Oryzias latipes: one gene and its partner. The main gene of each other region encodes a partner of the protein of the gene in region 2 in a complex. Links are inferred from orthologs where the notes say so. Each region holds a gene or a part of one and is shown on either strand. Other genes may lie near its edges. The genes, in order: gopc and cftr.

Region 1 (16,434 bases), on a different chromosome or scaffold from region 2:
ACGGCATAATCATGATTAAAATACACCTGGGAACGACGCTTAGACCACCAAAAGACGATGATCAGAGAGAGTCTTTAAGAGTAGTGGTCTCCCACCTTTTTCAGGTCTTGAACCAACTGAATTTAAGACATGATCTGATAAGGTTAAAAAAAAAAAAAAAACAGGAAACAATCCGTATCTGCGTCTCATCTACTTTATCCTAATCTTACCCTTGGATGTTGTATAAGCGTTTGCTACAACCTGTTGCCCTCCGCATGCTGGCAGAAAAAGAAACTGCAACATATTTTTGCTCTTCAGGCTAACTGAGCGATCTAAACCTCGACATTTCCTGCAGGTCACCTGCTTGGCCCTGTTCAGGTTAGTTCATTTTTCGCCCACAGACAGCACATTTTTACCATATAAGGAATTAACTGGGAAGATCTGAATATTAGTTCTTAGTTTCTGCTTGACATTGCATTTTCATCAAGATTAGGGAACCATCTAAACGCTTACGTGTTATTTCTTTTAAGATCACTGCAACCTTTCTCACAGAGTTTCGGTTCCTTCAGGCTTCAAAAACTGACCTCATTCGGTTACAAACAACGCAAACCTAAAGCAGCCTTTATTTAAAAAACAAAAACAAGAAAAGCTCTACAATCTTAGTAAAAGAACGCTCAGCCAGAGACAGGAAACCAGAGAAAAGACAGGAAGTGACGTGGAAGCATTCACGCTCCTCAGTTAAAGGTGGTCCGGGTCAGAACACTGGTGGGTCACAGACGTGTTTACGGATAAATATTTCTGCTCCAAAGTCCAGGGTGAAGGGTTTGACCTCTGAAGACCTGAAGAAACTTCTGGAGACGTTCGGTCGCGAGCAGCCGTGTGTTACGCCAGAGTCGCACAATAAAAACTACAATAAAATACAATTTACAGCAAGTTACATACTTTCTGTGCCCCCTCCCCCTGCCTGCCCCCCCAACTGTCTTATGTATGCCGGATAGACGTGACCGAAAGAAGAGTGAGGTGAGTGACGGGCCATTGATTCATGGGCATCCTCATTCGGGATCCAAGGGGTGGGGTACCAGCTGATGTCCATGGGTGAGCAATGGGAGCCTGTATTTTGGAAGGGGTTTGTCAATTTATCAGACTGAGGATCTGTTGAGGTTATTCTCTGAGAGTGTGAGATGTTTCCATGTGCATACTGTACAGCAAAAGGCCCCCCTCCATGGTTGCAGTGTCTTCATGTGCCCCTGTCAGTCTTTAGTCCCCTCAACACTGCTGCCCCTGATTATAAACAGTAATAGAAATTCAGCCCCCACCCAGAGACACACCTCTAAATTTCAGTGGGAGTCTTAAAATGGCCGCTTCACCCCCACCCCCCCGCAGCAAGATACTGATCAGTTCGTTCCCTCGGATTGTCACCGACTCCGTTCAGTTCATTCCACTGATCTCCTACGAGGAGGCGTCGCTCTCGGGGGGCTTTGGAGCTCCTTCTTCGTCTGGACGGGATTCGCAGCAGCTTCCTGGGTTTCCGTTCTCTGCTCCGCTGTTTAGGGTCATGTTCTCCAGAGCTGGGGGGAGGGAAGGAGGGGGAAACATTCATGAATATCTGTTGCTCACATCCCGCACAAAAAGGTCATGTCTTAACATTGCTGACGAACTCGGTCTCCATTCTAAAACCACCAGAATTAAGCTTTTTTACTAAAAAGATCACTTTCAGCGTTTCACTGTGCAGCAAAGCATGCTGGGCTCTATAATTGATGTTGGCACTGCGACTACTTTCTACTCTAGGCCCCAAAACATGTCAAGGGAATTTTGGGCTCTCAAAGGTAATTTTACCAATTTACCATTAACATTCGCGGACTCATAAGATGCATCGTCAATGAATATTTTATACTTTAATAATATTTGATATTATACAAAACATAAAATCAGTTATAAAATACAAAACATGATTGCTAAACTAAACAGACTAAAATAAACTGGGCACAAACTAGGCCTGCACAATATACCGCAAATTTATCGTTATCGCAATATCCAGCTCTGCAATATGCATATCGTAAAAGACGGCGAATATCGCAATAAATCGCAAACCCAAAATGTGTTAAAACAATCTTCTAGCAGCTTGAAGCATTTAACGAATCAAATAAATCCCTTTATGCTTTGACCAATCAGATGGACGCCTTCCCATTGTTGACCAATCAGATGGAGGCCTATTATGTTAACCCTGGTCCTGAAGAGCCTCAACCCTGCCTGTTTTCCAGCTCTCCTTAACCAGCTTGCTGTTGATTGGCTGACTCAAGTGATTTCACATCCTGATTGACTGAACACACCTGATTTTGGTTATCATTATCGAGCAGTCTAGGGAGAATTGGAAAACAGACAGGGTTGAGGCTCTTGAGGACCAGGGTTAGCCACCCTGACGTTTGACCCCATGTCGATGAGGGTCATTTGGAGTATAATTTTTAAACTGTTGCAATGAAATGGGAATGATGTTTTTGTTTATTTTACTATTTGTTTATTTACCGCAAATTTATCGTTATCGCAATATTGATCACTAATATCGCATATCGCAAGTTTTCCTCATATCGTGCAGCCCTAGCACAAACCGATAAGGAAAAAAACTCTTTAAAATTAGTGCAATAGTGCATTAGTGCAACTCAAATATTTAACATTTTAAACAATCAAAGTCAACCTCTTATGACTGAATTCAACCCTTTAACACCAGAAATGTCACCAGTAACACCTAAATAAGGTACTCTCTGATGTACCGTAAGTCTTTGACTCTTGGAAAAAAGCAGCTTTTCCTATTGGGTTAGCACCCATATGCAACACATCACCAAAGTAAAGTAGCAGAATCAGAGGGAATTACTACGTTAGAGGCGTAAAAGGTTACAATAGCCGAAAGAGTGTCAACACTGGAACTAAAGTTCTGGTGTTAAATCAAACGAGATCAAGTCAAAGTCCTAAAAAATCCAATTCAAAACCTTTTTATACTTTTCAAATCCGACAGATAGTCTGAGTTTGGTGAAACGTGTTTCTCTAATCTGGACAATTGTGTCAATTTGTCTTTAGTTCATCTCACCCTGAAGTGAGGCGGCGTTGTTGTTGGGTGGAGCCCCGCCGCCGCTGCTGCTGTCCTCCAATTCATCCAGATAGAGGCGGTATCGATGTCCGCTGTCGTCCTCATACTCCACGTTCTCGTCATCGCTGTCCACCTCCGGCGCCACGTACACCACCTCAAACTCTATCTGGCCTCTCTAAAACACAATCGCCACAATGAGTAGGTCAGAGAGCGCTCCCTGTGGCCACAGCGGGGACTGCAGCCACACCTTACCTGCTGTGACAAGATGGTGACTGCCTCCTTGTGCTTCGCATCCCTTAAATTGATGCTGTTGACCGCGAGGATGGCATCTCCGACGTGCAGGCCTCTACAACGGTCTGCAGGTTGACCGGGATGGATCTCAGAAATCAGGATGGGAACGCCGTGCTCCTTCCCGCCCTAAAAGGAAATCCAAGTTAAAGGATCTAAAGCCAAAACAGGATCTAAGAAGTTTAACACATTTGTTCCATTACTATTGCAGAGGGTTACTTAAGACCAAAGTGACAAATTCACTTCCTGAAAAGTCTAAGAAAGAATCTAAAACATGGCTGGTAATTGGTGCTTCCTTAAGGTTACATTTCCCAGATACAAAGTGCCTGGTTCAAACCAATGCCTTCTATGGGTCTACTATGTGTCAGATAGTTGCTTTATTTTTCACAAAAGAGGTCAATCGTGTATTTACCGTGATAGAAATCCCCAAGCCTTCATGGTCCTCTTTGACCAGCGCCACCTTCCTGATAGGACCGACTCCCTGCGTTTTCTTCAGCAAGTCATGTTCCTGGAATTGCACCGATAGCTTTTAGCGAAACCATGAAAACATGAACGGCATTTAGATGTTTGAGATCTCCACTCACGTGTCCCACAGGAGAGGGTAGAGGTTTCTTTGGGTCGATGCGACCTCGGCATGCCCGGATTACAGTTTTGTGGCGGTGGAGGTGAATCTCGGCCTCCAGCTGGTTCCACAGCTTGTCATGGGCGGGTCCCTTCATGTCCCGACCGAGTAACTGAATCTGCTGCACCCTGAAAGTCACAGTGCCAGCCTCTTAGGGAAGACAACCCTTAGACAACCTAAGTCTCGTTTACTCAATGAAAAAGATTCATCACCAGGTCTTATCTTTAAACCCGCTGCTCCCTCCAGCTTCTCACCTTCCAGCCAGCTCCTTGTCCAGATATTTGGCAGCCAATCTGGCTCCGTACACCTCAGCTTGCAGTACTGCTATGTGCCTGCGGAGGGCCTCGTTTTCCTTCCTAAACAGATGCACTTCTTTCTCCAGTCTGGCCTCAGCTAACTTCTCCTTCTTACCAGCCATAAGTTCCTGTTCCTGGAAAAAAAAGCACAACTAATCACGTTTGAGCTTTTGCAAACTGGCGACACAACAAACTATAGGTTTTAGGACGATTATGCTCCAAATGATCAAAATGTTATATATCATGACATAGCTAGGTTTATATCCTGATTAAGATATCAGTAACATTGCAACGTGGAAAGGCAGTGTGACACGACTAACTGAACAATGGTCATAGAAACTAAATACTTCTTTCACTTAGAACCTTTTTCCAAGTGTTAATCATGTTAACATCTACTGCTAAACATATTTACTATTTAGCATAGGCCAATTCCTAGCTGTGCCTGAATGCAGCGTCTGGACTTTTGTGTGACTTCTGCAGTCACTAGACGCTGCTTTTATAGCTTTTGCTTGTTGATTCTCTCTGCATTCTTGGTTATGGTTCCTGTAGAGACGACAAACTCCATTAGTTGTGTGTTTGTTGTTAGGACCGGTCAACAGGTGTTTTGCCAAAAGAGAAAACCCCCCTGCACCCCGTCTGACAGCGTTCCTCACCAGGAAGTGCTTTCTTTTTGACACAACACCTTACAAACTTTACAAACAAATGCTGTCTGATCCACGTCGGTCTTCTTCTATACAAACTACATTCATGCGACGGAACAATTTTCTAGTCTGGAGCGCATTTGCTACTGACTTCCTCCATGTTTGTTTGGTGTGAGGCACATTTTGACGGAAAATAGTACCATAAAGTTCCTAATTCTGTTTTGAGCCGTAGAGCTTCATAAAAAAACAATAGATATTTTCTCTCATCTAGATATACAAGTTTCTTTAGGATTTAGACCAAATCATTGCACAAAACGAAATTTTTCATTAGGATTGTTTGCAGTTATTAGATTTGGCGTAACCATAAAGTGCCATCTCAGAAAACATTCTCATGGAAAAAGTCAACGTTGACACTGACTGATGAGCTCATATTTCCATTTCCAAGATGGTGACTGGCCAAGTAATGACTGTAGCCAGTGAGGGGAGGGGAGGGAGTGGCGTTTCCACCCAACAAGCCACTGAAGCAGAGTCGACAAAGCAGCAGGAAGTAAATATCAGCTCAATGAGGGAAGCAACAGATCCCATGGTGTCAAATCTACAGCTACACCAAAGCGGAGAGGAGAACTTACCATCACCTCCAGAGTTGGTGCAGGCTTTAAGGACAGAAGAGGAGAAAGGACAGACAGAAGAAAATGTGGGTTAGAGAAACTCATCTTTGATTGGTGTTAATGTGTGCACAGGAAAGGCAAAAATGACAAAGAATCAAAGTGCATATCAGGGCTTCAGGATGGTGCTGAAAGGGAGCAGAAAACTGTAGATGGAAACAGTAAAAGACCAAACCATCAGTTGCAACAGTAAACAAAGGAGTTAAAATAAACATTCTATTTGTTTAAATCCCATATATTCTAAATGAAAGAAATGGAAAAATGTATTCTTTAGCAGTGAGGAGAAATCTTTGGTATGGCTGCTGGAGGTCATTTCATGCGGTTTGGATGTATTTCTACCTTTTCTTATCTTCTTTAGTTTCGCTGAGTCTCTTCAGCGTCATCAGAGATCTGCAGATAAAAGTGAATTTTCCACCACTGTGGCCTGCTGAGCTTACAGTGAGTGGAGGATTCTCCCGCCCCATTGAAGCCTCTGAAACCCAGATCTGTGTCTGTCACTGTTTGTCCCAGTGGAGCATTCTTCTGGAGACATTTATGATGTAAGAAGCTCCATAAAAACTCCTCTTTCTGAGATTCATTGAGGACATTAGTGCAGAGCAGTGGAGCTAAAAGCACAATGCTGTTTTAGTTTTGTAGTCGCATTCTGACTAATTTATATTTCTTTATCCTGTCTAACCAGAGATGTCTTTAATAAAGATGTCTGAAAACACCAGGTGGACGGCTGAAGGCTAACGTTGATAAGGTTACCCATGACTGCTAGCTCCAAACGGCCGATAACTGTTAGATCTATTCTGTTCGGATCATACAGAACTTTACCATTAGAATTGAACCTAATGGATTTCATTTGATGTTACTTGATGGATCAATCGATGACCGTCTGACCATCCAACCTACCAGTCTGTCCTTGATGGTGTCTGAGTCCTCTGTCTGGCCTTGCTGGGCCCGAAGCTGCAGCTGGAGAGCGTGCAACTGCAGCAGCAGTTCATGGACCTCCCTCTCCGCCACCACCCGCTCAGCCTTCGCCTCCGTCAGCTCGGAGCGCAGGTCGACCAGCTGAGCCTGGAGACAAGCGAAGAGTGTTTTTCAACATAAATGCAGACAAGTCAGACCAGGACCGACCTTTAGATAATCCTGTAACAGATCCTTGATTTAGGGACTGTACTCCACCTGGCAGGTTGAATGACGAGAGGAACTGTATGTCGTAGCAAGACTCAAACGGACAGCACCACAGTTGCTTAAGGGGTTCCGGACCAGCTCAGACAAGTAACCGTAGACAAAGCTCCTGCATCGACGATGCAGATCAGAAATTCTGAAGAAAAATCCTTCTGAATATATAGGAATGTTTTTTGCTTCGTTCATAATTATTGATACATGTGTAAAACAAAAACGTTTTGGTAAATTACAAAGCAAAATTTGTTGTTTTTTCTTTTAGCTTTTTATGCGATTTGAGCATCTAGAGGAATTCTGTTTCATGCAGCAGAGCATCAAAAATTTTGAGTTTCCAGAGTTTAAATATCAACACTTTGCATTGCAAATTAGGAATTGATTTCCATGTTTTTATGCGGTCAGAGACATTGGCATTTATTACACCACAGTCTATTACAAACGTTTCCTTTCGTAGACAGACAGTTGTAGTTGTGTAGAGCAGTGGTCCCCAACCATTTCAACGCCACGGACCAGTATGACGTCACACAGAGGTTCCACGGACCGGTCATGTAATTAAAGGTGAATGATTATTGTCGCTATACTACGATAAACGACCAACAGAGATGTGGCAAGACGAACCCTAAGCTTTTATTTTGACACTCACTCATGACACTGTACACCTCACAGGTGTCATCATCTTCTCCCCCTCCCACACTCATGGTGCAAAAAAGAAGCACTGTCTATTAAATGTCTGTCTCCTGGCTGGGCGTTTTCCCTTTGGCAAAGAAACTTTCCAAAGACGTTTGTTTTTTACTCTTTTTGCTAGCTCCTGGGTTTTATTTTAGCTGTAATCTGTCACGTGACGGAGAGGAGCGTCTTGGCCTGCATCAAGAGTAACATAGACGGATGTCACAGAGAATCAGGCAATTTTTCAAAATAAAACATCTTTCAGATTCCTAAATAAATAAAACAGAAGTCATGTAAATTATTATTTTTTTTCTCTGTGGCCCGGTACCAAATGACTCACGGACCGGTACCGGTGCTGGTGAAGAGTATATGTTGGATGCCAGAATGAAACAAAACAAGACTTTTTGGATATTCCAAGCCTCAAAATATTCCTATCTGACCTCTTGCTGTGGCTGAAATTGAATGTTTAGCAGCTTTTCAACATGTTATAAACTCTTTTTACACGCATTTGAGAACACTTTTTAACTCCCTCTGGAATTACTTTCCTCACTACATAAAGAAAAAAACTTTTCAAGGGAATAAGAAGATGCATTTGGCACATCTGGATGCAGGGAGGGTTCAAGTTCATCTGAGCAGCGCAGGAGGTAAAAAAGAAGCCAGGAAATAAGACGACCAACCAGATTCATTCGCATCCAACAGCAATCGCATATCATCCTCTGACCATGTCATCCTGTTCTTGCATGGAAAACAACTGTAACCATGTGGTTGCCTATGGCAACCATAGCCAGTGGTTTCTGTGTGGATTTACAACCATTAGCTAACATTTTCTGGTGAGAATTAAGGGGGCCTAAAGTTTGTCAGAAGGTGCTGGGAGGAGATATGATGAAGAGAGGAGATCTTCATCCAGATGCTTTGGTCCAAAAAGAATCATTTGGAAAAACTGGTGACAGATTTTCTTTCCCCCAAATCAACCAGATTTTCCTGTGTTCGACATAATAGATAACTCTTTTGTTACGTTGGAGTGATAGGACCAGTAACAATAAAACAACAAAACAAAGGCAAAACAAACAAAAAAAAAACAGTTCGGCTCCCTATGTCTGTGAAAAATGTTTTGGCCCCACTTTTATTAATCCTGTCATAAAATAATGGAATAAAACCCCAGCTTTTATTTTTATAGGTCGCCTATTTTTACCGCAATGGTAATGTCTGTTGTGAATTAAAAGCTAGACAGATCAGTAGCTAATCTTGTTAGAGAAAATGCTGACTTTTCCACGTTTATCTGGGAAAGACACGCAAACAAAAACATGACGACAGCTATCACGTTCAGTAATCCCTGGCTGGAGTCCCTTCACACTCACCTCCAGTTTATGGTTGAGCTGGAAGACCGTTTGGGATTTGTGGCAGAGCTGGGCGAAGCAGGAGCTCAGGCTGGTCATCTTCTGCCGACCCTCGTAGGTAATGTCCACCTGGTCCGGGTCTATCTCCCCCAACAGGAGGTCCACGTCTACAAAGGCCTTGTCAAATTCCTTCTCCAGCACTTCCAGCCACCGGAACATAGACAGAGCAGGGCCGAGGCCCGAGCTCTGGCCCGACGGGGAGCACCCAGCGGAGGATGACATGTCCGAGGAAGAAGGGGCTGAGCAAACTGAGGCAGAAAAGATCTCCGGCGGTCCGCGGAAGCAGTTAAGAAGAGAGACCCAGACCGAAGACAGGAACGGAGGGTTGACCACGGAGAAAACTCTGCGGTACCCGGAAGTCCGTCATCAGGATATCGAGCTTTCGGCGTAGCGATTATTACGGTCTGAACGGACGGATGGGCGCTCCATTAGTTTTCCTGCGCAAACTCTTGCGGCATTTTTTTTGTTTTGTAGTGACGTCACCTGCATATCCAAATCCTGTTCGCCTTTAGAAAATAGGGAAATAAATAAATAAATAAATAATTGAGTCAGAATCTGGATGATAATAATAATAATAATAATAATAATAATAATAATAATAATAATAATAATAATAATAATAATATTACAAATTAGTTAATTTATAAATAATAATTATTATATATTTGACACGTTTTAAAATTAAAGCTATCTTTACGATACTCAATCACCTGGATTGCACAAGGTCTACCTTCATGTGAAAATTAAATGAATTAAAAAAGCAAAAATAAATAAATAATGTTATGTTATGTTTAGGGGTCAAACTATTTCCTATAAATGTTTTTCAATCCTGGAAATTATGTTAACCTGGTCGTAATCGTGTTCTCACAATAGTGATGGGCAAATAAAGCGTCATTGTGAGTTGCACATTTCCTAAACGGTGTAAACAGTGTGTTGGATGGTAGAAACTCATTGCTGTGTGACATAATAGCGACATCTGCCGGACTTTAGAAGTCATTGCAGACAACTTCAACGAAGACTGGAAACAAACTGAAGATATGGAGGACCAAATGTGACAAGTTGAATAAATAAATACAACTTTAAATGTCTAAATAAACGTGTCATGGCATTTTGAATTAAAATTATAAATGTTTCATTATTCTATTTAAGAACTACTTTTATCATTTATACTTGCATGCACTTTTTTTTAGTTGAAGTTGAAAATAAACTTCATTTGGTGAAAACTTTAATAGTGACCCTTACTAAAAGTCATGTGCAAAAAATGATGAAACCTACATTTCTGGAAGGAGTAATGGAATACTCTAAATCATCACAGATGAGGAAATACAAGCATAAAGTGACACTTTCAGCAGTTCAAAAACTGAGAGACACACAATGTTTCTCCTTTTGGGCATGATAATTATTTTCATACTTCGGTTTGTAGATGAGGATATATTTTGTTTTTATTATTTTCAAACTGTGATCAAAGTTGCTCAAAATAATTTAGAGAAAAACTCAATTATACTTTAACTGTGTTGCTTTAATTTTAAAATAAAAAAAGAAAATGGTATGTTTCCTCTAAAGAAATATCTGTTTTAATATTTAACCTTACGTTTAGCAGATTTTTTTTTTAAAGATCCAAAAACTATGAAATTTTCAATTTAAAAAAACAAAACAAAACAAAAAATCTTGTTGGATCTAATTTGAATGTGTTTTGGATATTTTAGATTCAAAGTTTTACAATATAAAACTAATACTACATTTTTCGCTCATGAATTCTATACACCATTTAGAAAACAATGAATAACAAAATCACATTAAGCAAGAGCAAAAATATGACACTGTTGTTACGTTTGTGGAATGAAAGCAGAAAATTACCGGTAGTCCTGAGTGAGGATGTGAAAAGAAATAGAGAACGGATATTCCTGAGGTCCGAGGGGAATTGAGCATTTGATGGTGTGGCAAGCGCAAAGGAAGATGATCAAAGAGAGCGGCCAAAAAGAAACAAATTCCACACATTTTCTTTATTAAATACAGAAGGCGTTTATGTAAATTTACTCCTTGTGTCCAAAGCAACACCTTTCCCAAATGTATAAGTAATATCTGTCCAACACAAGAGGCCCTCAGGTCTCAGCTGTTTGCTAAGATGCTGGACCGGAAAAGTAGAAAACAAATAAATAAAATGATTTTGAATTTAAATTGATCTGGGACCTGTGGAACTGCTGGAGAACCAACGTAATAAATGGAAGTGGTTGTAGAGATGGTATGAGCTGCTGAATTGTGAACGGAGGCTCAAAGGAGATGTTTGTGAGTGAGACCAGGGAAAAGCAAGTTTTTATAATGTCAACAAGAGATAACAAGACTGTAGACAAGAACAGCAGTGGTATAGGAGGTTAGAGAACGTGAAAAGGAGGTTAGAGGAGACGGAAAGGACAGAGTACACTCAAGACGGGAGGAGGAAAGAGAGTGAGAGTCGATGGAGGGCAATAACATTTTGGTTTGGACATTATGGATTTGAACTAACATCGAGACACCCAGTTTGATTGCTGTCAAGTTCAAGAAAGTTAGTGGAGAACCTGCTGATGATTGTAAAAAGTGTTCATCTTTTCTCTGCAGGCATCGTTGGAAAAGAGGAGTACCTCAATGGAACAGATGGAGATACCTTGTCAGAGTAGATTATCCAGATATTGGTACTACAATGTGGAGTGGCTGTACTATAGAGAACCAAACAGCTTCTGTTAACTACCAGAGAAGTTGAACAGTGTTCAGCAGCAGCTTCCAGGCTGAGTGTGAGCAGAGACGGCTCCCTGCTCATCAGGAACATCACTGCTGAGGATGCTGGGTTACATGTCGTCTCGGATCCACAAATAAGCATGATTCACAAATGTACTGTTTGAGCAGTGAGTATTCTGACTTGAACTGTTCTTCATGTCTGAATCACAACAGTTTCATAGCTAATTGGATTTTTAGAGTTTCACCTGTCTGACATTTTGAAGAACACAGAATATTGGCAGGAAAAAGAAAAAAAAAACAAGTTCAAACAACTTTCTTAGTAAGTAGGAACCTTCAAATGTACGACCATCCATCACTGGTTTGACTCTTAAGGGCTTTTGCCTGTCACATCTTCTTGATTGATCCACAGTGTTTGATTTTAACTGTAATTTTTCATTTTTATTGTTAAAGTCTACATTTTTCATTAAAAGCAAATTTAAAAGAAAAGGAATTTACCCGAGATATTAGGAAGCATAACAATATAAATAAGCTGATTAAAATCTGTATATTTCCGTTGTCACATCAGTACACACGCACACAAAAATTGAATCTATGCACTTTAGGAGTTGTATAAAGTTTCCATCCTGATAGTTATAGCATTGTTATTTAATGAATAATGCCTTTTTGCAATTCTCTGTTCCTACCACCTCCTACGGGCGAATTAAAGTCATCCTCCACTGTTATGAAAAAGAGAACATATAAGCTAAAATGGAATAATTGCTTCGCTAACTTAGTTGTTTTATGTATCACTCTATATATGTACATTTTACAATCATATTCGGTCCAATATGTTTCTGCAATGTTTGTAAAAAGATTCTGATGAGATTTGAATCAGTAGTTGGTAAATATATTTGGGCTCATTTGCTTGTAAATCTGACTCTGAAAGACTCCGTTAGCCACAAATAACTGCACATCACTGGTCTGTAGCGAGCGGTTTTAATATGCAGACTTGACCTTGGTTCTCTCGCCATCTGCGGGTTACCACACTCGGTTACGTCATTTTGGATTTTATAGGTGGGGATGCACGAGCTCAGAGGCAATTCACCAAATATGCTTGCAAATTTGTGATAAAGAAAAACTATTCCTAAAAGTGAAATGTTTTAATTACAACTAATTAGTTTTTAAACATCTTGACTTGATCTGCAATGTGCAGCAATGATCACTGGTTTAATGTGATCATGTGTTCTATAATCAATGATTATTACATATCAGTTACCTAAAGTGTTATTCATTAATGTTTACTGAAAAGATGTAAGAATTCTTTCTGAGGATATTCAATAAGCGCTCGGTTTTGTTACTTGAGCTGCAATGTGTAGCAATGATTTCTGGATTTAATTAAATTGTATTCTGATTGTAATCAAAGAGTTCCACTTGTCTGTTACATAGTATGTGATTCACGTTACTTTTTACTGTATTCATGAATAAATGTTTACTGAAGCTAATTAATTTTCAATAATCACCTGATTTTATTACTTGAAAAGAATCTATCTGATCAGAACCGGAGTATGAAAACTAAAAAAAAACTAAAAAATGAATGAACTCAGTAGGGGTGGGATTATCCCTTGTGCTATCCTAGGCACTTTAACATTGGGAGTTGGGTCATCTAGACCCACTAGACAGTGCTCTGAACTTCTTACCTTTTGAAACAATATTTCAAGTTCTACTTGACTTTAGTTACTGATTACTATATTTAAGTGTGCCTTTGTTTTTTTGTATGTTTATCTATGCATTCCATCATTTCTGTAATGATAAATCTGTATGATTTATTGACTTCAATTAATGCTTGAAATTAATCAAACAAGTTCCCGCCTAAACCCAAGTTTTTTCTTTTTCTTTTTTCATTTTTTTTTACTTTTTTAATGTCCACATTTTTATTTTTAGTCTTTTATTTCTATTTTTTGGCTGCAGCCCAAGCAAAAAAAATAAAAATAAAACAATAAATTGTAAAAGCTGAGAAGAAATGTGTTCTTGGGTAGCAGCATTGTTCCAGGCAGCAGTGGATGCAGTTTGTTTTATCTCTTTTGGTGGTTTGCTTTGTTAAATACATATTAACTTGTAAATTCACTTGGTTTAATCTAAAAGAACAAGATTAACGAGATTTATGTTAGATTGACGTTGGAAACATGCTTTATAAAAGACACTTTATGACTTTATTGTTATACAATTTAACATCTTTATTGCTTTTTGTCAGAATCTCATTTACCTTTGAATGCTTTAATATTAGAAAAGCGATATAACATGACAAAAACAAAAAGCTGCGAGAAGAAGGGAAAAAAAGAAAATGCTTTATAAGATAAACTATTTGTACTACAGTATGTCTCGTTTTGCATATTAACACATTAAAAAGAAACTGTGCACCAATGTGCTGTCCTCATCATCATCATCAGCTGGACAGAAGTCACTGCTGAAAGGACGCAGCTGTGGAGTCGTCAGACATCACTGTCTGCTTCTTTTCACTCTATTTTAATGGACGAATAGATCACCTGAACTTCTTCCGCATTTATCTGGAACACAAAAAAAAATAGTTCTCATCCAACACTGTTGTTCTAAAAACTGTTGAGAGATGGAGACAAAAAAAATTCGAACATTAAATTTATCACAATATTATCATTTTCTGAAATAGAAAATGTTATGCCATTTAATTTATTGTAATTGAAACCACCACAAAATTGTGGTTAAAATATACTACTTTAATATAAATGTGTAAAGATTATGTGTAAAATGTACCTTTAATGTGTAAAAAAATGTATTGAACTTAATATAATATTAATATAATATAATAATATAAAATATGACATTTTTAAACTACCTGTTAAACAATTTTTTGTTTAGAGTACTGCTTTTTTGGGAACTGAATCGAAAACTCGCTTTAAAAAACTTTTAGAAGATTACTGCTTCTCTGTACTCAGTCATGTTAACCAACCCAACACTTGTACGGAGACCAGGATCACAGCAACCAAAGTGACTTACTGTAATCTTAGAGGAAGCCTTGGATTTGGAATAGTTAACCGCAGCATATGTCAGGTCACTCTCTGGCTCACTCTGCAGCTCAGACTGAACACAAACACAGAGGGGAATACATGTTTTTAAAGCAGACATCAATGAAACACTGTAGTTTGATGAATGCATGATGAGTAAATTATATGCAGATTATGTTTGATTTTCTTAATAATCATAAAATAGGAATAAACATGACTACTGTCATGAGTATGCTAAAATAAAGTTGAATTGCCCCAGGATGTCTTTTAACAATCTGGAATAAAAGTAACTTGACATTATCTAAAGTACACGATAAGAATATTTTTTTATTATTAAAGAAATACCTTCATTACTTATACTAGTAAACTTTTGTGTAATGATACTTACATTTTGATGTGTCGGCTTTTGAAAGTCTGAAATAAAAAAAGGTAGATTTTAGGAACCAGCTGACATCCACAGAAATGATTTTCTGTTCTGTAAAGCTTCGTTGTCAGTTTTAAGAAAAAATGTTTTGAGTCATAACTATAGGAAAATTTTCGTTTATTCGCTTTCTAAATCAGTTTTTGTCCCTTTTGGGGTCACGGGGCTACGAAATTAAACAGCAGAAAAGATTTGATTTAATGGATAAAAAATATTACGAAAAATCACACTTCACAATGACTGGTTTCAGAAGTAAAAAGGAACTTCATACGCTGTTGTTAAATGGTGCCAACATTTCTTTGTAAGTCAGCTACATTTGGAGTGTTCTGATTTCTTCATCAGAACCTCATCACATTCATTGTGGGTTAAGAAAAAATACTGTACTTGTTCCTTTTTTCTGATCCTTTGTGGCTTTGGCTGTCCTGCTTCTGAAGAGAAAAACGGTAACGACGACCAGCAGCACCAAAACCACACCGACCACAGCTCCAATGATGATGACTGTGTTGCTCTGGGGAGATTCTATGACAAATAATTATATTTGGGGTTTTTATTAATAGTAGCATGTTGAGAACAAAAATATGAGCTGGTTGTACTTGGCTGAAAATAAAATTGCAAGCCATGGATAGAAAGACATAAACTGTAAAGCCTAAAAAATGAAGCTGAATGAATGTGAGTAACATTGAAAAACAACATTTATAAAAAAAAAAAAGAAATATGACATGCATTGGTCAATTCTGTTAGTCAAATTTACTTTTGAGCCATCATTTAGTTCTTCATGGTAGCAGTAACTTCACAATGTCGAGTTTCATCATTAAAGATACTTATGGACTCAGATCTAAAGCCCTGGAGGCTTTTGCCCATTGAGCAGGGGTAAAAGATGAATCAAAGGCTGGACAAAGTTAATAATCTCAGAATGGACCTGACACTGAACTCTTCACGGGAAGCACTATTGTCAAATGTAGAGGAAAGGCAAGTACAGCTATGTTTTTGAGAATGGAGGAGAATGACTTTAGAACAGGGCCTGAGAAAAGGTGCCTAAAGATAAAGTGTTTATGTTGGACAGAGACCCTGCATTGAAAAGACTGACTTAGTCTTAGTCCCTTCCCCTCAATGGGGTGTTGACGAATGCTGCAGGTTTTTGGGTTGTGTAGGCCCGTAGAGAGAGGCAGCAGCATCTTAAGGGGAGCACAGGTGTGTCTTGCAGGTCACTGGAAAATTGCACTGATACCTTAAGGGACGTCATTGAAACTATGCTCAGATTGTTCCTAACAGTCAGGATAAAGTAAAAATGATCTGCAGTACATGTTACAACTTTATATCCATAAAATATGACTAGATTGTTGAATGTTGGAGAAACATTATGTGCCAAAAATAAAACCGATCAATGTTATTTAGAGTCATCTGTAACCATTTTTGACAGTACTTTAGTTAAGGAAAATAAATAGACTAGAAAATTGGATCTTTATCTTCCGTGTGAAACA
Region 2 (15,700 bases):
CGCACTTAGACTGCTGGGAGCCGTGGCTGAGGTAAGACGTGAATCGCCGAGTGTCCACCCTTATTAGTTTTATTTCTTTGTAAATTGTTCATTAGTGTGTTACACTCATAACTCACAAAGTTGGGAATCGTGTGGTGTCAATTTTACGTAATTTGTGTTGTTTTATTTATTTTTGGCTGCTCTATATCAGCAGATCTGCACTGCTTCGCGTGAACTAGTTGAGGTTCGCGCCATTTTTCTTTGATGTTTAAATTAACTTTTCCTTCTTTCTTTTTTGTTCATTTTTCAATTGTTTAAGGGGGAAAAAAATCACACAGAAGAAACTCCAGACAGCATTCTGAATTTGTATTTTCTGTTAACCAGGTACGGTGCAGTTTTCTCTTTTTATCGTGTTCTTTTTGTATTACTTTACATGCTGTGGGGGGAGGTGCTAATAAGCATGAGCACTGAGACTGCTGGGAGCCGTGGCTGAGGGGGAAAAAAATCACACAGAAGAAACTCCAGACAGCATTCTGAATTTGTATTTTCTGTTAACCAGGTACAGATTAAAAGAGTTTGACTCGGCATCCAAGTGTGGTCTCTCATTCGCCTGAACACAACGCAGAGCGGAAAACTCCACCAGTTACACTCTCATCATGGCATCACTTTCACTCAACCCTCTTCGTCATTTCACCACGTCTGAACGATGGATTTGATTGTTCTCAAAGTGGGTCTTTAACAGCAGCACTGATGCTCATTTTTCCGTCAAGGATCCCTGAAAAAGCAACTGACTCTACTGAAAGTAGAGGAGGCTAAAGTTCAAGACTTTAGCAGTGAAATACAAACAACAACCAGCTGGACCTCAGGGGCTTTTTTTCGGCGCCTGCTCGCAGCTAATGGTCAGCCAGAAAATGTCTGACGTCACCCATTGGATTCTCCCTGGCAAAAACAAACCCTGAAGTGGGATGGGCAGTTTGCTCTGCCCACTTCTGGAACATTCCAAAAATAGTGGGACAAAGTAGCGTTTTCAGCTCTTTTTGTCCACCAGGATCCACACACCTGCCAATCAAAAAGGCATGCGTTTTTTCGGAACTGTACCCTCTCCTATTCTTTAATCATTCTCCAGCTTCTTGAGCTCCGTTTTTCCCTTTTTTGGACCCCTGTCCTCCATCTCTAACATCCATCACTCTCTGTCTCTTCTATCTTCCATCCAGTCCAAAAGAAATGTTGTGTATGTGTGCCCAAGACAATCACTCCCACACACACTAAGACATGAACAGCTAGAGCCGCTTTAGAGCAGGGGTGGGCAAACCATGGCCCGGGGGCAACATGCGGCCCGTTAAACTGTTTAATCTGGCCCACCAAACTGGAATAAAACATTGATTATGCTTATTAATGTTTTATTTTCTCTGTGATGATGGTGTACCCCCATAGATGGTGCTCTACAAATATATTGACGACAAATACGTGTTTTAGGTGCAGAAATACATTCTGTATTCATGTGGTGTTGGAAGAGTTTTTCTAATGTTTATGTATGTTTTTCAAGTGGGGCAGTCATGTTTCCAATCATTCCAAAAGCACACGAACGCAGCATTTCTCAAAGTTCGTGTTTTTAATGAAGAACATCATTGGTGCAATTGGTGGGAAAATGAAAAAAAAAACAGTTTTAAAATAATAGCTCTAAAATGTTCTGTTTAATGTGTATCTAAAAAATTTTAATCAAAATTGATTCCTATTTTTGTCCAGACTCCATGAAATTTTTCATGGTGGATTATCAAAACACGACACAGATCTGCTCCTGATCCAGCCTTTCTGACAAATTTAAAAAGCCTTTGTGGCCCACGAGTCAAAATGGTTGCCCACCCCTACTCTAGAGTAACCAGTTAACCTATGAAGAAGGTTTTTGGACTGTGGGAGGAAACTGGAGTCCCAGGAGAAAATCCACGCTTGCACAGAGATAACGTGCAAACTCCACACAAACCAGGGCTTTCACTCTGTGAGGTGAGAGTGCTAACCTCTGCACCAGAGTGTGGCCCTGCTTGACCCAAATAATACCACATTTGAGCAGTAAAATGATTGACTAGTTAAAAATAAAAGCATCCGACTGTATATGATATTTTTGGAGTATAAGTCACAATGTTTTGCATTGTTTGACTGGTGATGTGGCGATAAGATTTTTTCTTCTTTATTATGTATTTTAGGCTGCTGCGACTTATACTGCGGAAAAGATGGTATATGTTTCTTAATAAACCCCACTTCCAACATGGGAGTCAGTAGGAATTTTCTCCCTTCTGACACCAGCAATCTGTTGAGGAACTGGATTATTTGACACTTGTTTTGTGTTAATTTTGGAGACAGAAGACGGGGGGTTGGTACTGACACATCATCAGCAGCAGCAGTTTAGAGACACTTTTTAAGACAAAGGACCTTTATTTACCTTCAGCCTCCAGCTGTTTGAGCTGCTGTCCTGTTCGTAGATAGTACTTCCTCAGGACAACAAATATGACAGCCAGGGGAATGGCAGCTATGAAGATGTAAGGTCGCATGATGGACACGGTGAAGATGCATCCGATGACCAGTAGTGTTAACTAAGGTGAGAGAAAGAGTGTGATAGGAGAGCATAAGTTACAATTCAAAACCACATATACGACAAAATAAAAGATGACCAAATAAATGTGGTTCAAACAAAGTACTTGTTCCATCAGAAAGCATAATTTAGTCCACTCTGCACTAGACATCATGTGGCTGTCAGTACCCAGCAATGAGACACAAAAATAGTTTCTTTGCATTTGCATTTTATGGATAGAATAAAAGAATACATAGGCATCCAAAAAATGAAGGAAGGAATGTTATTTAGGTTGTTGTAGGCTATTATAGAAGCTACCCTCTTGGACAGTTTTAAAGAAACTGTTCCTCCACTTACGTGCCTCATTATCTGCCTAGGTGACCTTTTATTATGCTTTTAACTCTTGTTTAATTGTTTTGATCCTTTTCTTTGTTTTATCGTCATATTATTTGTTGATGTAACTTTATGTACAGCACTTTGGGCCTCCTTGAACGGTGGTGGAAGGTGTTGAATGAAGAAAAATGCTTGCAGGTTTTTCACTTACCCCCTTTTTCAAAGATGCTTACAAGACCTACAGTACCTGCAAGTTCAAATCAACTCCCCAATCTGTATTTGAATTGAAATGGAATCAAATGAAATAAATGGTGTGCACTTGTAAAGTTCTATTCTACCTTGCTCAAAGGCCCAAAGTACTTTTCAGTTACAGTCCCATTCACACACACTGATGGCGGCTCAACTACTGAACACTGGCGCCAACGTGTAACCACCACCAGGAGCATTGTGGGGCTCAGTGTCTTGCCCAAGGAAATTTTGATTCATGGGCGGGAGCCAAACCTGCAATCCTCCAATCAGGGGTTGACTACTCTGTTCACAAGTCACAGAGCTAGTCTAGATCATTGACTCTCTATGAGAAAGAGACTGAGTGACTGCTCCCCCTTGTTGCTCCAAGCAGGAAGTACCTGCTGGTTCTTAGAAGCCAAAATCCCATTGACTTCTATAGAGAAATAAACAGCTGTTATTTAGTCAATCTGCTGGTCAGAATAATAATTTTGGCCCTGCTACATTTTTTACTATGTTCTTGATGATTCTTATTTTCTCCATGATACTTTTTCTTTGTTACAAGTTTTTTAAGTTATAAACTGAGAAATCAGGAGCCTCAATAAAAACAGCTGGTCTCACATTCAACATTTAAAACGTTTGATTGGCAGATTTTGTGAAGCCCGCTTTCAAGAGGTAGGGGTGTGAACTTCTGTAAAGCTCACTCCTTATTGGTGAGAGTGGTTGCCATAGAAACAATGACTTAGTCTGATTTGGACCAATCACTGTTTACTGATGGTGTCTGGTTCCAGCATGTCGACATCAGTATTTTAAAAAAAGAAAAAAATGACTTCATTTGGTTGGAGACGGAAGTAAATCCTTTTCTATGGGTGACGTCCCACTCACTCAGTCCAGTTCTCATGTACAGTCAATGGTTTGGAGTCAAGTCTCAAGTTCCAGCCTTTAAGAATGAAATGCAATTAAAGACCAAGGGTCATGTTCAAGTCCCCATCCTGCATCCGCCATATTTCTGAACAAAATAAGAGCATTTTGACTGCAGATGAATTTAACTGCACTGGATAGTTTTAAGAAACAAAGAACAAGCAAGAGGTGACTGCACCAACCAGCACCAAAACCCTTTTTTTGATCTTCATTTGAACCTACAAAGATAGGATTTTGCCTGCATTGAAATTTTTGGTTACATTTTTATTGTACAATACCTGTATGAGGTCAAACAGCATAGGAGGCAGCATGTCTTCAATAATGGCCATGTCCTTGGTAAATCTGTTCATTATGCGAGCTAAAACACACAGACATATCCAAGTTAGCCTTACACCCCACTTCAGTGAGAATGGAAGTCAGTGTGGTTACTCAAAAGTGGTAAATATGACATCAAAACAAAGAAAAGGGCACCTGTTTTAATGGAATTGAGCACGGACATGGGGGCGCGCAGCACAGCGCTCAGCATCTGCTCATGAAGTCGTTCGGAAACGGTGAGCAGTGAGTGCACCAAAGGAAGGCCCCTGAAGACTCCGAGGGCCAGTATGCTGTCTGAATGGGCCACAAAGATGTAAATAATGTAATAGGCGCTGGTCGGAGTCACAATAACTGCCAGATGGACCGGGGGGGACGAGGAATTGATGGGCTGATCATCGATGTAGTTGGGTGAGTTTGGGTTGGCACCATCTCTCCAGACTTTACTGATAAAACAGAGCAGAAGACAGAAAGTCACGCTATGCTTCAACGGAAAAATGATCACATTTTGTCTTAAGGTTCAAAACATCCACTTAATTCTAGAAACCTACCATTGATAAGGTTCATAATTAAACATAATGTGAAAAGGAAAACATTTCCAAAAAACTCCAACAAACACTCCAAAACAAATATCTCAGACTCTGAAAACTAGATTTCTGTTTGACAATGAAGAGTTTTATTTCAGTTTTGAGGAACACTGACACTCACTCTGTTATGAGAAAAATACCAATGACTGAACCAGCAACCTATCAGTGGAGACAAGGACAGAGATGTTCATATTATGCTCACAACTTTAAAAGCATGGACTTGAAAAGGGTTTGAATCTTACCTCAATGGCAAAAACAATAGCAATGAAAATAAGGACATATATCAGGGTTTTGTTGGTGGAAACATAGCGGAGGTAAGTGCTCCACGAGGTAGTCACAAAGACATTCTCACGCTCATCTGCAAAGCATTGCTGTGGAAAACAGAAGAGACACTTGTACCCAGATGTTGACTGAAGAACATTTGTTTGCATTTGATAACACATGAAAAAAAGCCTGTGTATTGGGCACACCTCCATGTCTTCTTCCTCCACCTCTTCTGTGATCTCAAAAACGCTGTCCTTGGACAGGCGCCGTGCATAGATGTCCAGCTCTGTTGCCAGGTCGTACTGTGGTGTGACAGACAGCTTTTTTCTGAACGATGACTGCATCCTCTCTCTGCGGTCTTGGCCCTGAGCGTTAGTAATGAAAGCCAGGACGGACTGGCGCCGCTGTCCACCGAGGTGCTGCAGCCCGTGGTGGTACAGGTTACTCCTTGGAAGTGCTTCCTCCACTTGATCATCCTCCGGCACCACAGAGAATCTTCTGTCGGAAAGTTCATTGCCACCCTCCTCCATGAGTGACGGCTGGAGTGTGCCTGTCTGCTGGGAGTTCCCTATAAAGGAGATTTTGCGAGCAGCTGCAATGGGGTTAAGGATGAGAGACTGTTTGCGTTTTTCAGGGTATCCATCAACCCCGTTGTGACCCTGAGGTGGCGCGTGCTGGAACGACTGGCGAAGTGCTTCCGGGCCTCGGAAGCCAGCGGTTTCGTCAACCGAGACCCTGCGAAGAGTTTCTGTGAGAATGGAAGAGCGTCGCTCCGCGACAATGTTGTCATAAGCTTCAAGACCAAGCAGGAGGGAGCTGAAGTCGGGGCGTTGTGCCTGCAGCTCTGAAAATGTACCATAAAAGTAACACTCTCCGTTGTGCAGCATGAGGATTTTGTCTGAACGCTTGAGGTGCTCTAGCTTGCTGGTGACCACAACACGGGTCTTGGAGCCCATCAGCTTACAGACACATCTGTGGAAAGAGGATGAGGCATGCTCAAATGGATCTTTAGCAAAATATACAAACGGTTTCTGTTGAAAAGCACATATTGGAATGCAGAATAAGGTGTCTCATGACACCAGACATCATTTCATCAGAGTGTAATTCTTACAGACCGACTGCTCACCACAGCTAATAAACATGAAACAACAAGAGAAAACCTTAACCTTGAACTTTAGCATCCCTCCCACCCCACTGCTGCTTGAAAGAGTTTCTGTCGGCATACGTACTTATCAAAGACCTCTTTCTCTGTTGCAATGTCCAGGTGGGTGAAAGGAGCATCCAGCAGGTAAAGGGCTGCATCTTTATACACACTCCTGGAAGACAGAGTGCCAATGCAGCCAGTCAGAGAAGAACACAAAGGAAAAACATTAAAAATAAGAGTTGAAGTAAAGAGAAAACAATGAGCACAGCTGTTCCTAAACATGAAGCAAAGGAAAGGTGAGGAAATACAGTAAATCATTCCAGCTGACCCTTTCCAGTGAGGGTAGAAACAATCAGAGGCCACAAATCACTGCTACAACATAACACTAATAAATCGTTCACAGGAAAATGAGAACATGTCTGATGATTTGTTTCTGCATAAACAGTAAAACATTTTAAGGAGTTTTTTCACACACAATCAAAACAGAAAGCAAACCATCCTCTGTGAAGGGACAGACTATTTTGATAACAGCGAAAAATTCCTTTTTCCCTCTGGATTTCCACTGATAATCAAAGCAGCTGGATTATAAATGTACCTTTGTAATTTAAAATGATTAAAAATTAATATTCCTAAAATATTAAATAAACTTTTAGTAATTCCCAAACCGTTTGAATCCTTCACATGTTACTTTAAAATAATGTTATTGGACTTTTTAACTTTTTTTTTTACTTCATTCGTGCCCACATTTGGTGAAAACAAAGGTCTGTGCCCAGACTGATGCACAGCTGTGCAGTCAGTACCTGGCCAAGCAGATGCGTGCCCTCTGACCGCCGCTGAGCGTCGATCCTCCTTCACCAAGAGCTGTCTTGTCTTTTTCAGGCAGTGACGCAAAGTCCTTAAGAGAGAAAAACACGTTTATCAGCATGATTCCCCCGTAAAAGTAAAAAGGGGAATTTATTGAAACCGAATTTTGAAATTTGCTAGAGATCAAACTAAGAAAGTAAAGCATTGAAAAGCCTTTGCTTGTATGTCCAAAGAGGCTCAATCCTGACTTGAGTTTAAATGGATCAACAACAATAAAGTTTCTCAAAGGAGAAAGAAAAAAAAACTATAAATGAGAATGAAACACAAACAAATACAGCATTTGATAGTTCCTTATCACAGAAACAAGAATACTCTGCTCTGGAGTGTGTTGCAAAGATTTTAGCACCAGCCCCTCCCAACCCACGAAAATGAGCGGGTCCTCACATTGTGACGTCACAAAGGAAGAACAGCCCCTTCCAGGAAGAGTCTGTGCTGCCAGCCCCGCCCCCTGGCTAACACACACACTCACGTTCTCCACTGAGCTAGCGATGATCGGCTAAATGCTTTCATTTGATGTGCACAACATGGACATCAATCTTTGCAAAACTTTAGATGTTGCTTGTTTTTGTGGGTGAAACGCAGAAGACGACTCTAGATTGACGTCATTAAATGGGCGGCACCCACATGGAGCGGACGGCAGTGACTCTAAGAATGAGCTGTGTTACTTCAGAAAATGAGCTGTGAAAATAACCAATAATTTCATTTACAAAAATAGTTCCTAAGTGTGCCAAAGGTAATATATTATCACATATATGGATCTAGCCACAGGGGTTGCAATCTAGCCACAGGGGTTGCAAGCCAGTAACTTCTGTGCCGGTCCCAAGCCCGGATAAATAGAGAGGGTTGCGTCAGGAAGGGCATCCGGCGTAAAAATTGCCAAAATAACCATGCGAATCATCCACGAGAAAGATTTAGACATACCGGATCGGTCGAGGCCCGGGTTAACAACGACCGCCACCGATGCTGTTAACCTACAGGGTGTCGGTGGAAATTTGACTACTGTTGGTGGAAGAAAGAGGGGAGGCAGAAGGGTCCGTGGCCAGAGAGAGAAGGGAAAAGGCAGGAACATAGGTTTGAGAATAGGGACTCTTAACGTTGGCACAATGACAGGGAAAGGCAGAGAGCTGGCAGACATGATGGAGAGAAGGAAGGTAGATGTACTGTGTGTGCAGGAGACAAGGTGGAAGGGCAGCAAGGCACGTAGTATTGGAGGAGGATACAAACTGTTCTATCATGGTGTTGATAGGAAGAGAAACGGGGTAGGAGTGATTCTGAAGGGGGAGTTTGTAAACAGTGTTCTAGAGGTGAAAAGAGTCTCAGACAGGATGATGAGCCTAAAGTTAGAAATTGAAGGGGTGATGGTGAATGTAGTCAGTGGGTATGCGCCACAGGTTGGCTGTGAATTAGAAGTGAAGGAGAGATTCTGGAGTGAGTTGGATGAGGTCATAGAGAGTATCCCCAGAGGAGAGAGAGTTGTTATTGGAGCAGACTTTAATGGGCATGTTGGTGAGGGCAACAGAGGTGATGAGGAGGTGATGGGCAGGTTTGGTGTGAAGGAAAGGAATCTGGAGGGACAGATGGTGGTGGACTTTGCGAAGAGGATGGAAATGGCTGTAGTCAACACTTACTTCCAGAAGAGAGAGGAACATAGAGTGACATACAGAAGTGGAGGTAGGAGTACTCAGGTGGACTACATCCTATGTAGACGAGGTCATTTGAGAGAGGTTAATGACTGCAAAGTGGTGGTAGGAGAGAGTGTAGCCAGACAGCACCGCATGGTGGTGTGTAAGATGACTCTGGAGGTCAGGAAGAAGAAGAGAGGGAAAACAGAAAAGAAGACCAAGTGGTGGAAGCTACAGAATGAAGAAACTTGTGAGGAATTTAGGCAGAAGTTGAGACAGGCTCTGGGTGGTCAGGATGAGCTTCCAGATGACTGGGAAACTACAGCAGAGATTATCAGGGAAACAGGTAGGAAGGTGCTAGGTGTGTCATCTGGAAAGAGGAAAGACGGTAAAGAGACTTGGTGGTGGAATGAGGAAGTACAGGAATGCGTCCAGAGGAAGAGGTTGGCTAAAAGGAAGTGGGATGTAGAAAGGACTGAGGAAGGTAGACAGGAGTACAAGGAAGCGCAGCGTAGAGTGAAGAGAGAGGTGGCAAAGGCCAAACAGAAAGCTTACGATGAGCTATATGACAGGTTAGACACAAAGGAAGGAGATAAGGACTTGTTCAGGCTAGCCAGACAGAAAGACAGAGATGGGAAGGACGTGCAACAGATAAGGGTGATTAAGGACAGAGATGGAAAGGTGTTAACAACCCAGGAGAGTGTACAGAAAAGATGGAAGGAGTATTTTGAGGAGCTGATGAACGAGGAAAATGACAGGGAAAGAAGGGAGGAAGATGTGGTTGTTGTGGAGCAGGAAGTAGCAGAGATTGGAAAGGATGAGGTTAGGAAGGCTCTGAAAAGGATGAAGAGCGGAAAGGCCGTTGGTCCTGATGACGTACCTGTGGAGGTATGGAAGTGCCTAGGAGAGACAGCAGTGGAATTTCTAACAAGGTTGTTCAATAGGATTCTAGAGAGTGAGAAGATGCCTGAGGAATGGAGGAGAAGCGTTCTGGTCCCGATCTTTAAGAACAAGGGTGACACGCAGAACTGCAGCAACTATAGAGGAATAAAGTTGATGAGCCACACAATGAAGCTGTGGGAAAGAGTAGTGGAAGCCAGGCTTAGGAAGAAGGTGGAGATTTGTGAGCAGCAGTATGGTTTCATGCCCCGTAAGAGCACCACTGATGCCATTTTTGCTTTGAGAATGTTGATGGAAAAGTACAGAGAAGGTCAGAAGGAGCTGCATTGTGTGTTCGTAGATTTAGAGAAGGCGTATGACAGGGTGCCGAGGGAGGAGCTGTGGTACTGTATGAGGTCGTCTGGAGTGGCAGAGAAGTATGTCAGAGTAGTTCAGGACATGTATGAGAGAAGTATGACGGTGGTGAGATGTGCTGTAGGTCAGACAGAGGAGTTCAAGGTGGAGGTGGGACTACACCAAGGATCAGCTTTGAGTCCTTTTTTGTTTGCTATGCTGATGGACAGGCTGACAGACGAGGTAAGACAGGAATCTCCCTGGACAATGATGTTTGCGGATGACATTGTAATTTGCAGTGAGAGTAGAGAGCAGGTGGAGGAACAGCTAGAGAGGTGGAGGTTTGCTCTGGAAAGAAGAGGCATGAAGGTCAGTCGTAGTAAGACAGAATACATGTGTCTGAACGAGAGGGATCAAGGTAGAAGTGTTAGGTTACAGGGGACTGAGGTGAAGAAGGTGCAGGAGTTTAAGTACTTGGGGTCAACAGTTCAGTGTGATGGGGATTGTGGAAAAGAGGTGAAGAGGCGAGTGCAGGCAGGTTGGAGCGGTTGGAGGAAAGTGTCAGGAGTGTTGTGTGACAGAAGAGTGCCAGCAAGACTCAAAGGAAAGGTGTACAAGACAGTGGTGAGACCAGCTCTGCTCTATGGGTTAGAGACGGTAGCAGTGAGACAGAGACAAGAGGCTGAGATGGAGGTAGCGGAGATGAAGATGTTGAGGTTCTCCTTAGGAGTGACCAGGTTAGACAGGATAAGGAACGAGTACATCAGAGGGACGGCTCATGTTGCCTGTGTTAGCGACAAAGTCAGAGAAGCCAGACTGAGATGGTTTGGACATGTTCAGAGGAGGGATAGTGGATATATTGGTAGAAGGATGTTGGAGATGGAGCTGCCTGGCAGGAGGGCAAGAGGACGGCCAAAGAGGAGATACATGGATGTCTTAACAGAGGACATGAAGTTGGCTAACGTTAGGGTAGAAGATGTTCATGATAGGGTGAGGTGGAAAAGGATGATTCGCTGTGGCGACCCCTGATGGGAAAAGCCGAAAGAGAAAGAAGAAGATATATGGATATAGTTTACTCTAAAAAAATCCTTAAAAGTAGCATAAGATAGGCCCTTTAAATGTAAAGCACCTCTAGCTGCGCAATACATAAGAAGCACGATTTATAAATAAAGTTTGGTTTGAATTGAAGATAGATATTCTGGGAACAATCGTCTTTGTCCTCATTTGTCATTTGGTCACATGAGTTTAAGGTTACTTCCTTTCAGGAGATGTTAAAATAAATGTTTAGCTTGGTACATTAAATTTAAAATTCTTCTATTTAATGTGTTTGCCACTTACATTAATCTTTAAACAAATTGTAATTATGATCATTTGAAAGGATTTGAGTCAAATTATTGACTGTAAATGGGAATCAGACGGAGTAAGTGGCTCCTATGAAATTAAGTCAATTCAGTCGCCATTCATACACCGCCACCATGTTGGAGCCAGTAGGCAGTGATTGGTCCGAATTGGTCTGAGTCAATGTTTCTATGGCAACCACTAACTGCGAATCAGAAGTGAGCTTATTGAAAGGCCACACCCCTACTACTTGAAAGCGAGTTTAGGAGAATCTGTCAATCAAACGTTTAGAACTGAGACCACATACTTTTTGAGGCAACTGATTGGTCAGTTTATAATTTTAATAACTTGTGCTGCATAAAAATTATCATGAAAAAAATAGGATTATCAAGAACATGTTAAGAAATGTATCAGAGTAAGAAGGGTTGTTCTGACCAATAGAATGACCAAGTAACAGCTGTTTATTTTTCTATAGACTTCTATGGGATTTTGGCTTCTTCCTGTTTGGAACGCCAGGGGGGAGGAGTCACTCAGTCCATTTCTCATATACAGTCAATGGGTTGAACTGGATTTGACCATGTTTTAACATCTACTTTGAAAAGTTCCAAACCCTCTTGGGCATGATTCGGTTTCTTTAGCATTGTCCTCGTTTGTTGCTTTGAGACAACATCAATGTAAAAAAGGATTTAAGGTTTAAATAAAACCTTTGGGTTATTGACTTTAACACTAACCCTGATAAACACCAAAAAGGGAAATAACACATTTAATCATCTGCTAAATGTGCAGTCCTTCTAAAATGTTTTTCTAATTAGAAAACTATCATTTTGGGCAATAGACTGATTTTTTCTAAAAAAATAAATAAATAAAAAATATCACAGAAACCCAAAGGTAATTTAACCCAAAAGGCAAAGTGTGACATGTGATAACAAAAAAAATTGACACTGGTCTGAATAGAAAAAAGCACCAAACAAAAAACACACGACGGACACTGCAAGAAGACAAAAACAAGGACACATCATGTCATAAGAAGAGGTGATCGTAGTCCACACAGAGACTGTGCTGAGGAACATCAAGAGGAAAACTTCCTACCTTTTCATCTGCAGCTCCTGCTGCTCCAAATGGAGTGCAAACGGAAACAAGTTAACAGCTAAGTGTCAAAAGCAGGAGGCAGAATGAAATCAGCAAAAAACACAACGCTCATCACCAAAGGGATGTTTTAACACAAAACTTCTTTAACTTCTTTAAGTCACAGATGGAACAAGATTCTCTCAAATCCAGATTTTCTTTCACAGATATGTGTCAGCTGATGTATTCCAGTATGAACTTGATACTTGATCTCTGATATGAAATAATAATTTCTAGAAAAATGTCCTTTTTTCTTTCTTCTTCCTTGTCCTGTCCAACAGCTGAGCACACAGATAGGAGCTGAAGGCCCCTTGTGTTGTACATATTTTACCGATACTTCAGGGGGTTCTGGATCCTCTGACACACAAGGCATGTATTTGTATAAACCTTTTTTGTAATTTAGGCTAAACTTTATTTATATTGATTTCATCCTTTATCCTTTAAGAAGGAAGGGATGTTAGAGACAGGGGGTAAGGCCACAGAAGACAGGGGGAAAAGGGGAGTTAAGGAAATCTCAAGATGATTACAGAGGTGGTGGTGGGGGTGTACAAATTAATACGCAACTAGATGCTGGAGGACTATCTTCATTACTGTCTGGTGTAAATGTTAATCAAAAGGGGCGGGGCCTGTCCACACACGTACTCAAGTGTTACAAACATACCTGTTGCCTCCAAAATTCTTCACATACCCCCACCTTACACACCCCACCTTCAGAGAGCCCAACAGCCCCTGACTAGCAGCCCAACACCACGTTGTGGATTTTCAGATATGGCAGAATGGAATTACGGGACTCCTGTTTTTAGTTTTGCGTTCAAATCACTCGCCTTACATCTGTCCTCAAAGTAAAAGTGGAGACGCTGTCTTTACATTGGAAATACCAGTATAGCATCACAGCTTTGTTTGTGTGAAAACACCTGATTGTTTTTGTGAAAACCTTCATCACTGAGGGCGAGACATTTAATTTTACACATTCATTAGACAGAAAAAGGGAAGAAACAATTTCAACAATAAATTCCAATAAAAGTCTGTCATGCCAGTCTTTAAAAAACCTTAAAATGTATTTTTGTGTCTTTCTGGATAACTATATCTATGTTTTACATGTGCTTTACACTGAGTTTATCTTTGCATTTCTAAAAATGTTAAAAAAATATTGATTGACTCAAGAAGTTGATGTAAATGAAAATGCATGTTTAAATGTTTTAAATCAAATTGTTTGTCTGGTTGTGTTGTGCATTAGCAGTACTGCATATATTACTGCTATTCTGTCTACTGTGGCACATATATCCTGGTCATGAATTCTAAAGAGATTTCCTAATTTGATTGATTTTCTATCCTTTTTTTACTGTGACGCAGCTCAGGTTTTTTTTTTTTTGTTATAGTTAGAAATGACCTGGTTCTAGCAGGTTTCTCAAGACATGAAGTTTCTATTTACCACATATCAGATGTGCGTATAGTTATACACTAGCTGTCCAGTTCAAAGATTTCCAGGACTGTGTGTGCTGCTCTCTTTAGTGACTTTGGAACATAGAGGACATTTTGTTCATATTAGGGTTAAACTCTATGAGAATTCATATGTGTGACAAAATGATCTATAATAAGTGATCAGCAGAAGCCTTCCTACACTAAAATCCTGATGAGCTCTACTCAGACTTTAACAGGTTTCATTTTAAACTCTGGACTGTGATAGTAAACTTGATTGTTTCAACTTACTCGAGTTTAAATGAGTCACTCACCAAAGTGAATCAAGTTTTCTGAGTCATATATATGTTGATTGTCACGATGGGTTTAAATAAAGCATCAGATCAGAGAAAAGGTTCACCTCTTACCGCTTGTTTTTGTCCAGATGATGAAGCTAAAGTTTGTTTTAAAGAAGCCAGAGCAGTGAAATAGAACGTTAATGCTATTTGACCGGAACTTCTTCTATCTATCTATCTATCTATCTATCTATCTATCTATCTATCTATCTATCTATCTATCTATCTATCTATCTATCTATCTATCTATCTATCTATCTATCTATCTATCTATCTATCTATCTATCTATCTGTCTGTCTGTCTGTCTGTCTGTCTGTCTGTCTGTCTGTCTGTCTGTCTGTCTGTCTGTCTGTCTGTCTGTCTGTCTGTCTGTCTGTCTGTCTGTCTGCCTGCCTGCCTGCCTGCCTGCCTGCCTGCCTGCCTGCCTGCCTGCCTGCCTGCCTGCCTGCCTGTCTGTCTGTCTGTCTGTCTGTGTGTTTATATATATACACACATATACACACATAGACTGTATGCTAGACCCAAGGAAGGAGGCCGAGGACTAGTGAGCGTGGAAGCCACTATCCAGGATGAAACATCCAAGATCCATGAATACATCAAGCTCAAGGCCCCAACTGACAGCGTGCTCAGTGAATGTCTCAGGCAGTGGAGAGCAGAGGATACAGTGCTGGAGGACAGATCCTCATGGGAGGACAAACCCCTGCATGGGATGTACCACTGGACCATAACTGAAGTGGCTGATATCAAGAAGTCCTACCAATGGCTAGAAATGGCCTACAGGATAGCACTGAAGCACTCATCCTGGCAGCTCAGGAACAAGCCCTGAGCACCAGAGCCATAGAGGCTCAGAAGACCCAAGGTGTAGATCTACCACACCAGACAAGACCCAAGATGTAGATCTACCACACCAGACAAGACACAAGGTGTAGGCTGTGCAAAGAGGCGCCTAAAACAATCCAGCACACAACTGCAGGGTGGAAGATGTTGGCAGGGAAAGCATACATGGAGCACCACAATCAAGTGGCTGGAATAATATACAGGAACATGTGTGCAGAATATGAACTGGAAACTCCAAAGTCAAAATGGGAAACACCTCCGAAAGTGGTAGAGAATGAGAGGGCAATGATCTTGTGGGACTTCCAGATCCAGACTGATAGGATGGTAATGGCGAACCAACCAGACATTGTAGTGGTGGATAAAGAACAGAGGAAAGCCGTTGTGATGGATGTGGCAGTGCCAAGCGATGGGAACATCAGGAAGAAGGAACATGAGAAACTGGAGAAATACCAGGGACTCAGAGAAGAACTGGAGAAAGCCTGGAAAGTGAAGGTGACAGTGGTGACTGTGGTAATTGGAGCACTCGGGGCAGTAACCCCCAAGCTGGAGGAGTGGCTACAACAGATACCTGGAAGGACCCCAGACCTCTCAGTCC

What was found.
Region 1: the proteins of cftr (region 2) and gopc are in contact, whole or in part, in an NMR structure (PDB 2LOB), measured with the Homo sapiens proteins. The link is inferred for Oryzias latipes from reciprocal best matches to the Homo sapiens genes CFTR and GOPC. Residues at the interface, in NP_000483.3 of Homo sapiens: Val1475, Gln1476, Asp1477, Thr1478, Arg1479, Leu1480; in NP_065132.1 of Homo sapiens: Gly298, Leu299, Gly300, Ile301, Ser302, Ile303, Thr304, Gly305, Glu308, His309, Glu317, His319, Thr347, Lys348, His349, Lys350, Glu351, Val353, Leu356.

Annotation. Positions count from the first base shown.
Region 1 is NC_019882.2:11,933,800-11,950,233, reverse strand, and holds gopc (Golgi-associated PDZ and coiled-coil motif-containing protein), read right to left. Parts: upstream 9,214-16,434; 5' UTR 9,026-9,213; coding exon 8,765-9,025; intron 6,633-8,764; coding exon 6,468-6,632; intron 5,562-6,467; coding exon 5,538-5,561; intron 4,402-5,537; coding exon 4,226-4,401; intron 4,100-4,225; coding exon 3,934-4,099; intron 3,858-3,933; coding exon 3,762-3,857; intron 3,479-3,761; coding exon 3,314-3,478; intron 3,237-3,313; coding exon 3,062-3,236; intron 1,548-3,061; coding exon 1,429-1,547; 3' UTR 572-1,428; downstream 1-571.
Region 2 is NC_019864.2:3,327,700-3,343,399, reverse strand, and holds part of cftr (cystic fibrosis transmembrane conductance regulator), read right to left. Parts: intron 7,227-15,700; coding exon 7,132-7,226; intron 6,504-7,131; coding exon 6,417-6,503; intron 6,160-6,416; coding exon 5,394-6,159; intron 5,295-5,393; coding exon 5,166-5,294; intron 5,083-5,165; coding exon 5,045-5,082; intron 4,783-5,044; coding exon 4,496-4,782; intron 4,383-4,495; coding exon 4,303-4,382; intron 2,568-4,302; coding exon 2,417-2,567; intron 1-2,416. UniProt on the Homo sapiens protein: Epithelial ion channel that plays an important role in the regulation of epithelial ion and water transport and fluid homeostasis. Mediates the transport of chloride ions across the cell membrane.